3 linked regions of the Schizosaccharomyces pombe genome follow. The protein of the gene in region 1 interacts with the protein of each later gene in a biochemical or structural test. Each region holds a gene or a part of one and is shown in the gene's direction. Other genes may lie near its edges. The genes, in order: rhp23, ubi4 and mts4.

Region 1 (3,741 bases):
CTGAGTGATCGCAAGACATTTTCATCTTCTGGTGTTATCATTTCGCCAACCAAGAAAACATTATGAAGACAAGTCAGCCAAAATTCGGGAATTCCCTTAGGATCTGGAAGATTATTTTGAAATATTTCTTCCTCGTGATCTAATTCGTCGTCCACTGGTTCAGAAACACCCTTGATAATTTCGGCTCTTCTAGAGAAAATAGGTTGATATTTTTTCTCGTATTTTGTTTCCAGATCTAACATTTTTTGACGAAATTCATATTGAATTGCATCACAATCTTTTTGAAGGCCTTTCAATGCTGTAATACGATTTTGGACTGCTGGCGCAAGGCTCTCTATATATCCCGACGACTTTCCAACCAACGAGCTAAGGCGTCCCTCAATCATTGATAACATGGCCGGATTGTTGCGCAATAACCCGCTAACTTCATCATGTGCTGATTTGTCCTCCAGTTGTGATTGCAAGGTTTGTCTAGCTTTTTCTAATGCGGCCTTACTAAGATGTACATCTGAAGATGGAGTATTTTGTGGCGTTTGAGCAGCAAACCCATTCCAAGACTTCTTAAAATCTCCTGGACCTTTAGACATATTTTAATAATGCAAACGGAGATTAAATTAAATTGGTAAAGCTTCGTTGTTGGACTGTGGATCTTCGTGAAGTCTACCAAAGAGATGTTGGGCCTGACTCGTTATTGCAGCTTAGCATATTTTAATGATATGTTTACAGCATTTTTCGTATGAGAGTCTTTAATGAAATATATTTATGTGTTTAGCGGCTATCATAGTTTGGGATAGTATTTGGGGTTTTATTTGGAAGAATATGTAAAATTAGAAAGCATCCGGAAGTTTACATATACGTTGACTTTTTTCTCTCCGCTTTCCTTATACTTTCTCTGACAAAGGTAATGGATTGTATAAACCAAAGGCGCTGCTTTCAAATTCTGATGTAGCTGTCCAAATAGCTAAAAAAAAAATCAATGAAATAAACAAATGTATATATCTCGTTTAAGCAAAGTGTCTACGCTATTCATATTAGTTTAACATATGTATCGTATCCCAATTATTAGTTGAAAATTCTATAAAAAATATATATATATGGATACTGATTAATAAACAACTCTACGTATCATATACTTCTATATTCATGAGTTAAACAACCTTATTGTAGCATTTGTTTACTAGTTAGTTGCCCACGGAGGAGCGAAAAACTATCGGAACATAATTCAAAAGTCAAACTTGTAAATAAAAATCTGCTATTGTAACGGTCATTGCTAACTTAAATAAACAAATCATAATTAATATATATAAATTTATTAGCGATCGTTCTGTAAATAAATAGAAAATGAGAATGAATAATCCAACAGAAAAATATATATATATATAGTAAATTAAAGAATAAAGAATAAACTAATACACTGTATTGAGTACTAATGGACTTGGAAACGAGGTAAATGTTTCACTCACAACACTTTCAAACAAATGAAATATTTTCTTACATTAAATTTTAGGTTCAAATAAACCAAACTGTTTTGCTTTTTAGATTTTTCATTCACATTTTATGATAAACAATGCGATGATACCAAATAATGTTACTTGTGTATGGTGTTTGTTTGCTACCTTGACAATTATTCTCTGATGCAACGTTTTTTCAAAGAGGTTTTCATTACTATACATTTACCCACTACGCCAAATTTGCTTTGAAAATGAATTTGACATTCAAAAATCTACAGCAGCAGAAATTTGTTATTTCTGATGTTTCTGCAGATACCAAAGTATGATAATTGTGGCATATTATTTTTCTAACGTAAACAGATTTCAGAATTAAAAGAAAAAATTCAAACGCAACAGAATTATGAAGTCGAACGTCAAAAGTTAATTTACTCAGGTATATAACATAATTTTAATATGTAAAATACTAATTTATAGGTCGAATCCTTGCTGATGACAAAACTGTTGGCGAATACAATATAAAAGAACAGGATTTCATTGTATGCATGGTTTCACGACCCAAAACTTCCACCTCTACTCCGAAATCAGCTGCCAGTCCTGCCCCCAATCCTCCGGCTTCCGTACCTGAAAAGAAAGTTGAAGCTCCTTCTTCTACCGTGGCGGAATCTACCTCTACTACACAAACTGTTGCTGCTGCTGCCCCTTCAAACCCAGATACTACTGCCACTAGTGAAGCACCAATAGACGCCAACACATTGGCAGTTGGTGCTCAACGAAATGTTGCTGTCGAAAATATGGTAGAAATGGGATACGAACGCAGCGAAGTTGAAAGAGCCATGCGTGCCGCTTTTAACAACCCTGATCGGGCAGTGGAATACTTATTAACTGGTATTCCCGAAGACATTCTCAATCGACAGAGAGAAGAGAGTGCTGCAGCCCTTGCTGCTCAGCAACAGCAAAGCGAAGCCCTTGCTCCTACTTCCACTGGCCAGCCAGCGAATCTTTTTGAACAAGCTGCTTTATCAGAAAATGAAAATCAAGAACAACCTTCTAATACCGTTGGTGATGACCCTCTAGGCTTCCTTCGTAGCATTCCTCAATTTCAACAGCTAAGACAAATTGTTCAACAAAATCCACAGATGTTGGAAACTATATTGCAACAAATTGGGCAGGGAGATCCTGCATTGGCTCAAGCTATTACGCAAAATCCTGAAGCATTTTTGCAATTATTGGCGGAGGGTGCCGAAGGCGAGTCTGCCTTACCTTCTGGTGGAATTCAGATTCAAATTACTCAAGAAGAATCTGAGAGTATTGATAGAGTATGTTATTTCTATTTTTTTGTTTTAACTATCTAACAAGCTTTTAGTTATGTCAACTTGGCTTCGACAGAAACATTGTAATTCAGGCTTATTTAGCTTGTGATAAAAATGAAGAGGTGTGTTTTTTTTTTTTTTTTGATTTATTGAATTATCAACTAACAATTGTAGCTTGCTGCTAATTACCTTTTCGAGCATGGACATGAATCTGAGGATGAACCTTAAAGCGCGCACCTTATAAATTATTGCTTTTCGCTTGAAAAACGCCTAAATGGCAACTAATTCAGCTCTTTATTGCTAGCATTTAGTTAAGGATACGGAATATTAAACAAAACAATGATATTTTTGTAATTGTTGAGTACAGGGTTGCTCCGAGCACAGCACATAAGTTGTTTTCAATCATTTGTCGTACATGTAAATATTATATATATACATATATATATTTTTTTTCCCTACTATTTTATTTGATAGAACCATATTTTTCTTTCTCTAATACTGAATTGTCATTACGCTTAGGGTTTTTGCATAAGATATCAAGTAGGAAGAAGTCAAGTGACTTAAGTGGTCTAATTTCCACGCTCAACGCTGCAGAAATACGTTTTTGATAATTTTTTATATTTTTCTTAAAATGTGACGATATTATAATTAATGTCGCAACAACTTTCAAGTAATGAAATTTGTGAAGAGCAGGGAAAGCTCGTCAAAGCGCTGTGTGAAGCAGCTCAAGGAGGTTTTAAGCATGATTTATATGAGAAAATTATAGCAATTGAAATTGAAGTTGAGAAGAAACTGTTAAATCGTCTAAAAAGTATTCAAACAAATACTTTTGAACGTCCAGATATTATATGGTCATGTTGCCATTATAAAATTATTCAACATTTTAGAAGTAGGTTTAGAGAGGTGAGTAAAAACTAAAGTATGGGACAATTATTAATTTTAAGATACATCCTCGACACGTTGTTGAAAAAAAAAAGACA
Region 2 (3,467 bases), 1.9 Mb from region 1:
ACAACTAGGTTATTGCATAAGTAACGTCCCGGTGAATTGTTGACATTGTACGATTGTGATAACTGGGGCTGACTTAGCACATTAGCAATTAGAAAGGTAGTAAGAGATCCTCGTCTACTTATATTTTCGTATATCTTAGTAAAAACACGAAAGGATTCTACCAAGGATCAAATATACATAGCCGAATTGCTGTCCAAAAAATGGCAAGAATGTATACTTTTATTAAGTACCGGCTTTACTATTTTTAATTTACATAACTTGATAGTAGAGTTTTCAAAAATCCAAGTAACCTTAGAACCATAATCAGGAGAATTAATTATTTTAATGATCTTATTGTAAGTAACCCACCGTTTGTACGGAAACACTTATGTAAATACTAGGGATGGGTTGATACTACTTGTACAATTGTAACCTGGAACAGCTCAAAGTAGATGAGTATTCTAATATTTCAGGTTGGCGGTTAACTTATTGATTAGCAAAATATATTATACTCCGTGTGCTACATAAGAAATTAGTAGAATTCCATATGAATAAGAAATCTGCGTTTTAAAACCTAACATCTATATAAATTATTCATTAAAAAAGCATTAAACTATGCTAATTATCGCTAAGAAGCATGAGCGCAGCTTACTCCAAATTCCCAGTCACAAACCTGACCCACATCAAAAAAAAGTATAAACATCAAAATTTACAAAGAGCACATATATCGTAGACCATGGTATCTTTCGGATTATGCTTCTAATGATGATAAACAATACTTTAAGGATGTAAAACGATTTTTAATAATCGTTCGTATTGTCGACTTTTTTTTTATTTTCGTCTTTTAAATCGCACATGATTTTATAGTCTTGTCATTATTTTCTCATTCAACCACAAAGGAAAGCACATTTATGAGCAAATTTCATTCAAATATTGAAATTGGAAAAGATAATGTTGTTTAATTGTTCTTCAAATTGTGGATATCTATTTGAACGGCCTAGGACTAGAAAAATGTTAATTCCTCCTTTGTAGCGACACATCTACACTGAAATGGACAGTAACTCTGCTGATAGAAGTTAGTCGTTATCTTTCCTATTCGTACCAAGCATCTTATCTTTTAAGACATGTTTACTTTTTATTCGTTCGTTTTAAAGTACAACAATATGCTTATTTGACATGGATTTATCAACAGCTACCCAACTACCTATGCACTAGAAATATGTCTCCCAAAGTGTCTGTGCGTAAACAGATATTTATCCTATTTCATTTTGTACTGTTGCATCGTTTCCTCTCGTACTAGTCGTTTTGCAAAGCCACGTTAATGATCGATATGTTTGAATTGCAGACACCATTTCACATTGCGATAAGGGGGATTCCTGTATTTTTTTGGTCACTGACTAATTTTGACACCGAGGTGACATCATATCGTCTAGGAATCTTTGTTGCGTACACAGTAGACAACATGGCATACGAACGAATCGATGCAATGTATATTTATAAACACAACAAAAATTTGAGTGCATATGCTTCAATTTCTATACATAAATGTATTTAGAAAAAACTATCGTATTGGAGATTGTATTTAAATTTTGATTTTATGAATGAGTGAAAAATGAGGAGCAGTGGCGACGTCTATATAAAGGTGGCTTCCCCCCTTCATTACTTTGCATTTGTACACACACAATCTCTACCATGCAGATTTTCGTCAAGACATTAACTGGAAAGACTATTACATTGGAAGTTGAATCTTCCGATACCATTGACAATGTAAAGAGCAAGATTCAGGATAAGGAAGGCATTCCTCCTGATCAACAACGTCTTATTTTTGCTGGTAAGCAACTTGAAGATGGACGTACTCTTTCAGATTACAACATTCAAAAGGAGTCTACTCTTCACCTTGTTCTTCGTCTTCGTGGCGGTATGCAAATTTTTGTCAAAACCTTGACTGGTAAAACCATTACATTGGAAGTTGAGTCTTCTGACACCATTGATAACGTAAAGAGCAAGATTCAGGATAAGGAAGGCATTCCTCCTGATCAACAACGTCTTATTTTTGCTGGTAAGCAACTTGAAGATGGACGTACTCTTTCAGATTACAACATTCAAAAGGAGTCTACTCTACATCTTGTTCTTCGTCTTCGTGGCGGTATGCAAATTTTTGTCAAAACCTTGACTGGTAAAACCATTACATTGGAAGTTGAGTCTTCTGACACCATTGATAACGTAAAGAGCAAGATTCAGGATAAGGAAGGCATTCCTCCTGATCAACAACGTCTTATTTTTGCTGGTAAGCAACTTGAAGACGGACGTACTCTTTCAGATTACAACATTCAAAAGGAGTCTACTCTTCACCTTGTTCTTCGTCTTCGTGGCGGTATGCAAATTTTTGTCAAAACCTTGACTGGTAAAACCATTACATTGGAAGTTGAGTCTTCTGACACCATTGATAACGTAAAGAGCAAGATTCAGGATAAGGAAGGCATTCCTCCTGATCAACAACGTCTTATTTTTGCTGGTAAGCAACTTGAAGACGGACGTACTCTTTCAGATTACAACATTCAAAAGGAGTCTACTCTACATCTTGTTCTTCGTCTTCGTGGCGGTATGCAAATTTTTGTCAAAACCTTGACTGGTAAAACCATTACATTGGAAGTTGAGTCTTCTGACACCATTGATAACGTAAAGAGCAAGATTCAGGATAAGGAAGGCATTCCTCCTGATCAACAACGTCTTATTTTTGCTGGTAAGCAACTTGAAGATGGACGTACTCTTTCAGATTACAACATTCAAAAGGAGTCTACTCTTCACCTTGTTCTTCGTCTTCGTGGCGGTCTTTTTTAATCATCCTTTGTAATTGACTAGTTCAACTTTAACGTTTTTTCAATTGGCTGATTTAGTTATCCATAACTATACAATGCATTATAGCAATATACTATAGCTTTTTGCTTTATTTATGTTGGTATAATATTATTGACTTAATTTAGTATATTCTTAATGTGCGATCCATGTTTGTATTTATAGGCAATAGTGAGACCTGATTTCACCGATGTAAAGTGTTATAGCGTTTGATTAGGGAAGAGGTTAAATTTCGTTGAGTAGTAGCTAATTTCAGCGTTAAACTGTTGTCGTCCCTTACGTAGATAATCAAAGCTGGGCGAAGCGCCAAGCTATATTCTTCTTATTAATTATACCGAACAAGCGTTACTTAATTTATTTATTTCGACGCTTTTCTAAAGGGAATATCTTAATTATTCTATATCTCCTTTTTCCATGTCACTGAAGACTGCTCTTTCTAACTCATGGCTTACAATAAATCTCTAAAGTCTTTAGTATTTATCCTTTTGGCTTCTCAGATCGTATTTGTATTATTCCTTTGCTACGGAAAAAGTTCTAGAGAACTTGGAGTGAAATGGAATTCAGATATTCGATCTTGGATGACCAGTTACGTTGGGTTTAATGGCGAGACTGCGGCCATATCAGAAGAACAG
Region 3 (5,496 bases), 130 kb from region 1:
TTCAGATTTTAATATTAAAAGGTTTCCGTTCAACTAATTCTTTTGAAATTACCATGAATTTTTTCCTTTTGCTGATGGATTTCAAGGATAATGATTTGGTTGGCGTTGGTTATTTGAGGATACTATCCTGCTTGTTGGTGTCATTACCAGCGATGGTATATACATACGAGCATTCAGATCCTATTACTTTTGATTTAAGTGTTTTCTGTCATAAATTAGCTACTCTTGCTTCACAATTTAACGATGATGCATTGATTGAGCTTCTTGACACATATCTCAAACGTAAATTCAGGTCAATTAAGGATTTTTTAAAACATACGGTTTCATACCTATACTCCTATTATTTTGAAGATTACGAGCTAGAAATTGTTAGTACTCTTACGATGTTTCTATCAAATAATTTGACTTGGTTTAGAAAGTCTACGTTAGATGTGTTAAAAGAACTCTTTCCATTAATTGATTTCCAAAAACCTATATATTCCGAACATGGATTAGGTATTGTTTCACCGCTTCTTCGACTCTTACCTACTGGTTATGCAATGGAAGCGTTGTCTTTGCTAACCGACTCAGTGCTTCATGTATCTGCTCCCACAGATATGCAAACCTTAAAGTTATTAATGGTTGACCCTAAATTAAAAAATTCAGATGATCGTCTGGCTGGATTTTTTGAAATACCTGACGAGGATGGATGGTATGAACCAAACTCTGAATATGCAGCTGCTATAACTAAAAGCAACGTACATGCCGTATTTTATAGCTGTTCCACTACCGAGGCTTCTGTGAGTACGCCAGAGGTTAGATTTCATGCTGATGAAGTATCCAATTATCCGCGACACGTTCCTACTGACAGTCATGGTTCGCTTGACGAAAATTCACTAGGAGAGCTAGTTACAACTCTTCATAGCCTCGATGTCTTCTTCGCTGAAGATAGGGATGAAGAGTTAATTCAGCCTGATGTCGCCGTTGATCCAAAATTAGATATTACATCGGAAGATTATGACGATCGGATAGCTACGATTCTTTCAGGTAGCCTTAGACGGCAGAAACAAGGTCTTATGGCTTATGAAACAGAATCCTTCAGAGATTATTCACCGAACGAAGAAATTGATGCATCAGCAAAATTGCCGATGGACATGCCGCCGGTGAGAGTAAGAAAGTCGTCTTTTATCTCTAAATTAAAACCTCATTACTTTATGGATGCTGAATCTTATTATCCTTCTTTAAAGGCACTTGGTAATTCGGCGGAACATCGTTTATCTTTGGACGAAATACGAGGTGCAGCAGAATTGAAACAAAATAAAAATTGGAATTCCATGTTAGATCAATCTGTTTCTATGATTAATGAAGATTCAGTGGAAGACCATGAAACTCATGAAAATTATTATCATTTACGTACAATGTTTCAAGGAAGTGAAAGCAATGAATCTTTTACTGATACAACTCGATCCCGCGGTTGGCATTGAATTTGCCTATACTGGTTTAGTATACTTATACAAGCTTTTATGGTGTTCATGTGTGTAAGATGGAAAATTAGTCGGCAACGTTTATGGATGTACTATATAAAACTATTCGTTTGTTTTCATTATTTTATCATTTGCATTTTTTTGTTAATTTAAACTCGAAAATTCTTTGACCATTACAGCCTTTAATTTTAGAATTCAAAATCTTAGAGCGTGTCATGTTATTAAAAATCAAGCTATAACTATGGTAATTAGGTGTAGTGATATAAATCGGTTTCATATGTCCGTATTTAAACAAATGAAAACATAAAGAGTCAATCAATAACGAGTTATTTTACAACAATTCTTATAAGAAAAGAGGCATGAGATAATAATGTCAAGCATCGTGTAATAATGGTAATACATTGACGAACTTAAATAATAGATTATTTTTTCATTTGTACTGATCCATAAAGAAAGCATAGCGTGTTGTTAAATCTAATTAACGTGATAAATAATCAAATACGTAAACAATCGGTATACTGGTTCTGACTAGGGTGAGAGTAGTTTCAACGACAACACATTACTACTCAGTTTCAGAAAATCTTAGGAATCTAGAAAATGAGTTCTAAAGACATTAGTTCGAAGTCCCCGAGTGGTAATGATGCATTAAATGACAAAAAAGGGACAAAGACTTCAGAAACTAATGACAGAAACTCAACGAACAATACCAAAGAAAGGGATGAATTAGAGGATTTAGTAAGTTAAAGCCCTATTATTTTTCAAAATGAAAACTAACCAAATAGTCTGAAGAAGATTTACAATTAAAAAATGATTTGGAATTATTAGTTCAAGCTGTTCAAGATGCCACCCCTGAGTTGGTGGGTTCCAGTCTCACTCAGCTTAAAGAAATAATTCGTACTTCTACCTCCTCTATGACGGCCGTTCCAAAGCCTTTGAAGTTTCTTAGACCACATTATTTTACTCTCGTTAAAATCTATGATTCCTGGCCGCAAAGCCCTCAGAAGACTCAACTTGCTGATATCCTTTCAGTATTAGGAATGTCCTATAGTAATACAAGCAAACATGAATCATTAAAATATCGTCTTCAGGGCGTTACCACTGATCCTTCTTTATGGGGTCATGAGTATGTTCGCCATTTGGCTTCCGAAATAGAAGAAGAGTTTGCCAGTCGCCAGGAAGAGGAAGCGCCAACCGACGATCTTATGGAACTTGCATTGACCATTGTTCCATTCTTCCTTACTCATAATGCTGAGGCTGATGCTATTGATTTATTACAAGAATTGGGTGCTATTGAAAAAGTTGTACCCTTCGTAGAACTTGATAATGCTTCTCGCGTTTGTCTTTATATTACCAGTTGCGTTAATCTTTTGCCATTTCCTGAAGATGTCGCCATGTTAAGAACAGCGCATGCTATTTATCGGAAGTTTGACCAGCTTACACAAGCACTTAACGTTGCTATCCGCCTTGATGATATGTCTTTGATAAAAGAAGACTGTGAAGCTGCTACGGATCCCTTGTTGAAAAAGCAAATGTCTTACATGCTTGCTCGTCAGCAAATACCTATGGATATGGGAGACGAGGAGTTAAACGATGCTTTAAATAACACTCATTTATCTGATCACTTTCATTATCTAGGAAAGGAGTTGAACCTTATGGATCCTAAAGTTCCGGAAGATATCTTTAAAACACATTTAGAAGTGGCTAGGACTGGATTGGGTGCATCAGGAGTGTATTCCGCCAAACAAAATTTAGCTAACACTTTTGTCAATGCCCTTGTCAATGCCGGATACAGTAACGACAGATTAATTTTGGTCGATGACGAAAAAACGTCTTGGATTTATAAAAATAAAGAATCTGGTTTAATAAGTGCTACAGCTTCTATTGGCCTATTACAATTATGGAATGTTGACATGGGATTGTCTTTGTTGGATAAGTATTTATACTCTTCTGAGGAGAATACCAAGGCTGGTGCATTGTTGGGAATTGGTGTTACAAATGTTGCAGTAAGAAATGAAGCTGATCCAGCTATGGCAATTCTTTCTGAATACCTTGAAACTGGCTCCGTAAAGCTTCGTGCATCAGCGATTTTAGGTTTAGGACTTGCATACAGTGGAGCTAATCGCGAAGATTTACTCGACATGTTATCTCCAATTGTTACGGATACCGATTGCCCTATGCAATTATCCTGCTTAGCCGCATTATCTTTAGGTCTTATTTTTGTTGGTACTTGCAACGGCGATGTAGCTAGCACAATTTTACAAACTCTAATGGAGCGTGAAGAGTCTGCCCAAAATGATCAATGGGGCCGTTTTATGGCTCTTGGCCTTGCCCTTCTTTTTAATGGTAAACAAGACCTTGCGGATGCTACAGTCGAAACACTGAAAGCTATTGAGGGTAAAATTGCACGACAAGCTGAAATTTTGGTGGATATTTGCTCGTATGCTGGAACTGGCAACGTTCTTCACATCCAAAAATTGCTTCATATCTGTAGTGAACCTCCCAGTGATGATGCTAAGGAGAGTGAGACTACTATCCAGACATTTGCAGCACTTGGTGTTGCTACTATAGCTATGGGTGAAGATATTGGAGCAGAAATGGTTTTGAGACATTTCGATCACATGATGCATTATGGCGAACCCTCTATTCGAAAAGCTATACCACTTGCATTAGGATTGCTTTCCGCTTCCAATCCTCAAATGCGTATATTTGACACGCTTTCACGCTATAGTCACGATAATGATTTGGATGTTGCTTACAACGCAATCTTTGCAATGGGTCTTGTTGGTGCTGGTACTAGTAATGCGCGTTTGGCTCAATTACTCCGCCAACTAGCCAGTTATTATCACAAAGAATCCAACGCTCTATTCATGGTTCGTATCGCTCAAGGTTTACTTTACTTAGGAAAAGGAACAATGACGCTTAACCCTTATCATACAGAACGGCAGATTCTTGGTCAAACTGCTTTTGCTGGTCTTATGACTGTTGTATTAGCTATGCTAGATGCAAATACCTTTGTCCTTGATACCTCGCATTGGTTGCTTTATGCTATTACGTTAGCAATACGACCCCGAATGCTCATTACCCTTGGTGAGGACGGTCAATATTTACCAGTAAGCGTTCGAGTTGGTCAAGCAGTAGATGTGGTCGGTCAAGCTGGTCGTCCCAAGGTCATTACGGGTTGGGTCACACATACTACACCAGTTTTGTTGCATCACAATGAGCGAGCTGAACTAGCGACGGAAGCATATACACCTTTGACTTCGTTGGAAGGTATTGTTATTTTAAAAAAAAATACGGAGGACATTGAAATGACCGCTTAAATGACTTGAAGTTAAATGACTACAATTTTTATGTACTAATGCTTGATTTCCAGTTCTTTGCTATTAATAAAACAAACTGGATTGTTGAAATTCAGCGCCCGATACATTTATTTTTCTATTTCGATTATGTTAAATTCGTATTTTTTAGATTAGAAATGTTCTAGTATTGTTCTAAATTGAAGTAGCGGAAAGTATATATACATGATTGCAAATTTGTAATTAGGATTATAATTTCTGTTTCTTTTTTTTTGTATTTGTCGCGTTACCAAAAGGTAATAGAACGTCCACTGCAGAAACGTCTTGTTGGATAAAAATTGCCCGAACTAAGGAGCTACCATTTCTTAGTAAAAAAAATTTAGACCTGCGTTGGAGCTTAATGCAATTATCAAAGAATGAATTTTAATCATCTTCTGATAATCCGACAAAGGAGTTGACTGCTTTGCGACGCATCCCTTATGTCACGTTTCTACTACTGTTTCAATACCTAACCATTACATTAAAGGTAAAACTGCACATTAGATACTTCGCATTTAGGGAATAACGGTGAATAGCTTTATTTAATTTCAAATATTATCTTGAATTGTTATTATGTTTCATCATATGCAGTCCCAAAGTCTGCTCATCGTTAATTCATTTCCACAGGTAAGTTGTGCATTCATTTCGTTATGTGAAAAAATGGAATGACGCTCGTATTTGAATTGATAGAAATGTCA

What was found.
Region 2: the proteins of rhp23 (region 1) and ubi4 form a complex in vitro, tested with the Schizosaccharomyces pombe proteins (3 studies listed by BioGRID).
Region 3: the proteins of rhp23 (region 1) and mts4 form a complex in vitro, tested with the Schizosaccharomyces pombe proteins (one study listed by BioGRID).

Annotation. Positions count from the first base shown.
Region 1 is NC_003423.3:2,985,262-2,989,002, forward strand, and holds rhp23 (UV excision repair protein rhp23), read left to right. Parts: upstream 1-1,667; 5' UTR 1,668-1,702; coding exon 1,703-1,771; intron 1,772-1,807; exon of another isoform or gene 1,808-1,811; coding exon 1,812-1,884; exon of another isoform or gene 1,885-1,925; coding exon 1,926-2,767; exon of another isoform or gene 2,768-2,814; coding exon 2,815-2,883; exon of another isoform or gene 2,884-2,935; coding exon 2,936-2,989; 3' UTR 2,990-3,228; downstream 3,229-3,741. Other genes in the region: nucleosome assembly protein Nap2, read right to left, coding at 1-587; telomerase regulator Est1, read left to right, coding at 3,413-3,664, 3,706-3,741. UniProt on the Schizosaccharomyces pombe protein: Involved in postreplication repair of UV-damaged DNA. Postreplication repair functions in gap-filling of a daughter strand on replication of damaged DNA.
Region 2 is NC_003423.3:1,043,771-1,047,237, reverse strand, and holds ubi4 (protein modifier, ubiquitin), read left to right. Parts: upstream 1-1,645; 5' UTR 1,646-1,671; coding exon 1,672-2,820; 3' UTR 2,821-2,967; downstream 2,968-3,467. Other genes in the region: ecm14 (carboxypeptidase), read left to right, coding at 3,279-3,467.
Region 3 is NC_003423.3:2,850,617-2,856,112, reverse strand, and holds mts4 (19S proteasome regulatory subunit Rpn1/Mts4), read left to right. Parts: upstream 1-2,010; 5' UTR 2,011-2,060; coding exon 2,061-2,198; exon of another isoform or gene 2,199-2,245; coding exon 2,246-4,783; 3' UTR 4,784-4,992; downstream 4,993-5,496. Other genes in the region: morphogenesis protein Mor2, read left to right, coding at 1-1,463. UniProt on the Schizosaccharomyces pombe protein: Acts as a regulatory subunit of the 26 proteasome which is involved in the ATP-dependent degradation of ubiquitinated proteins.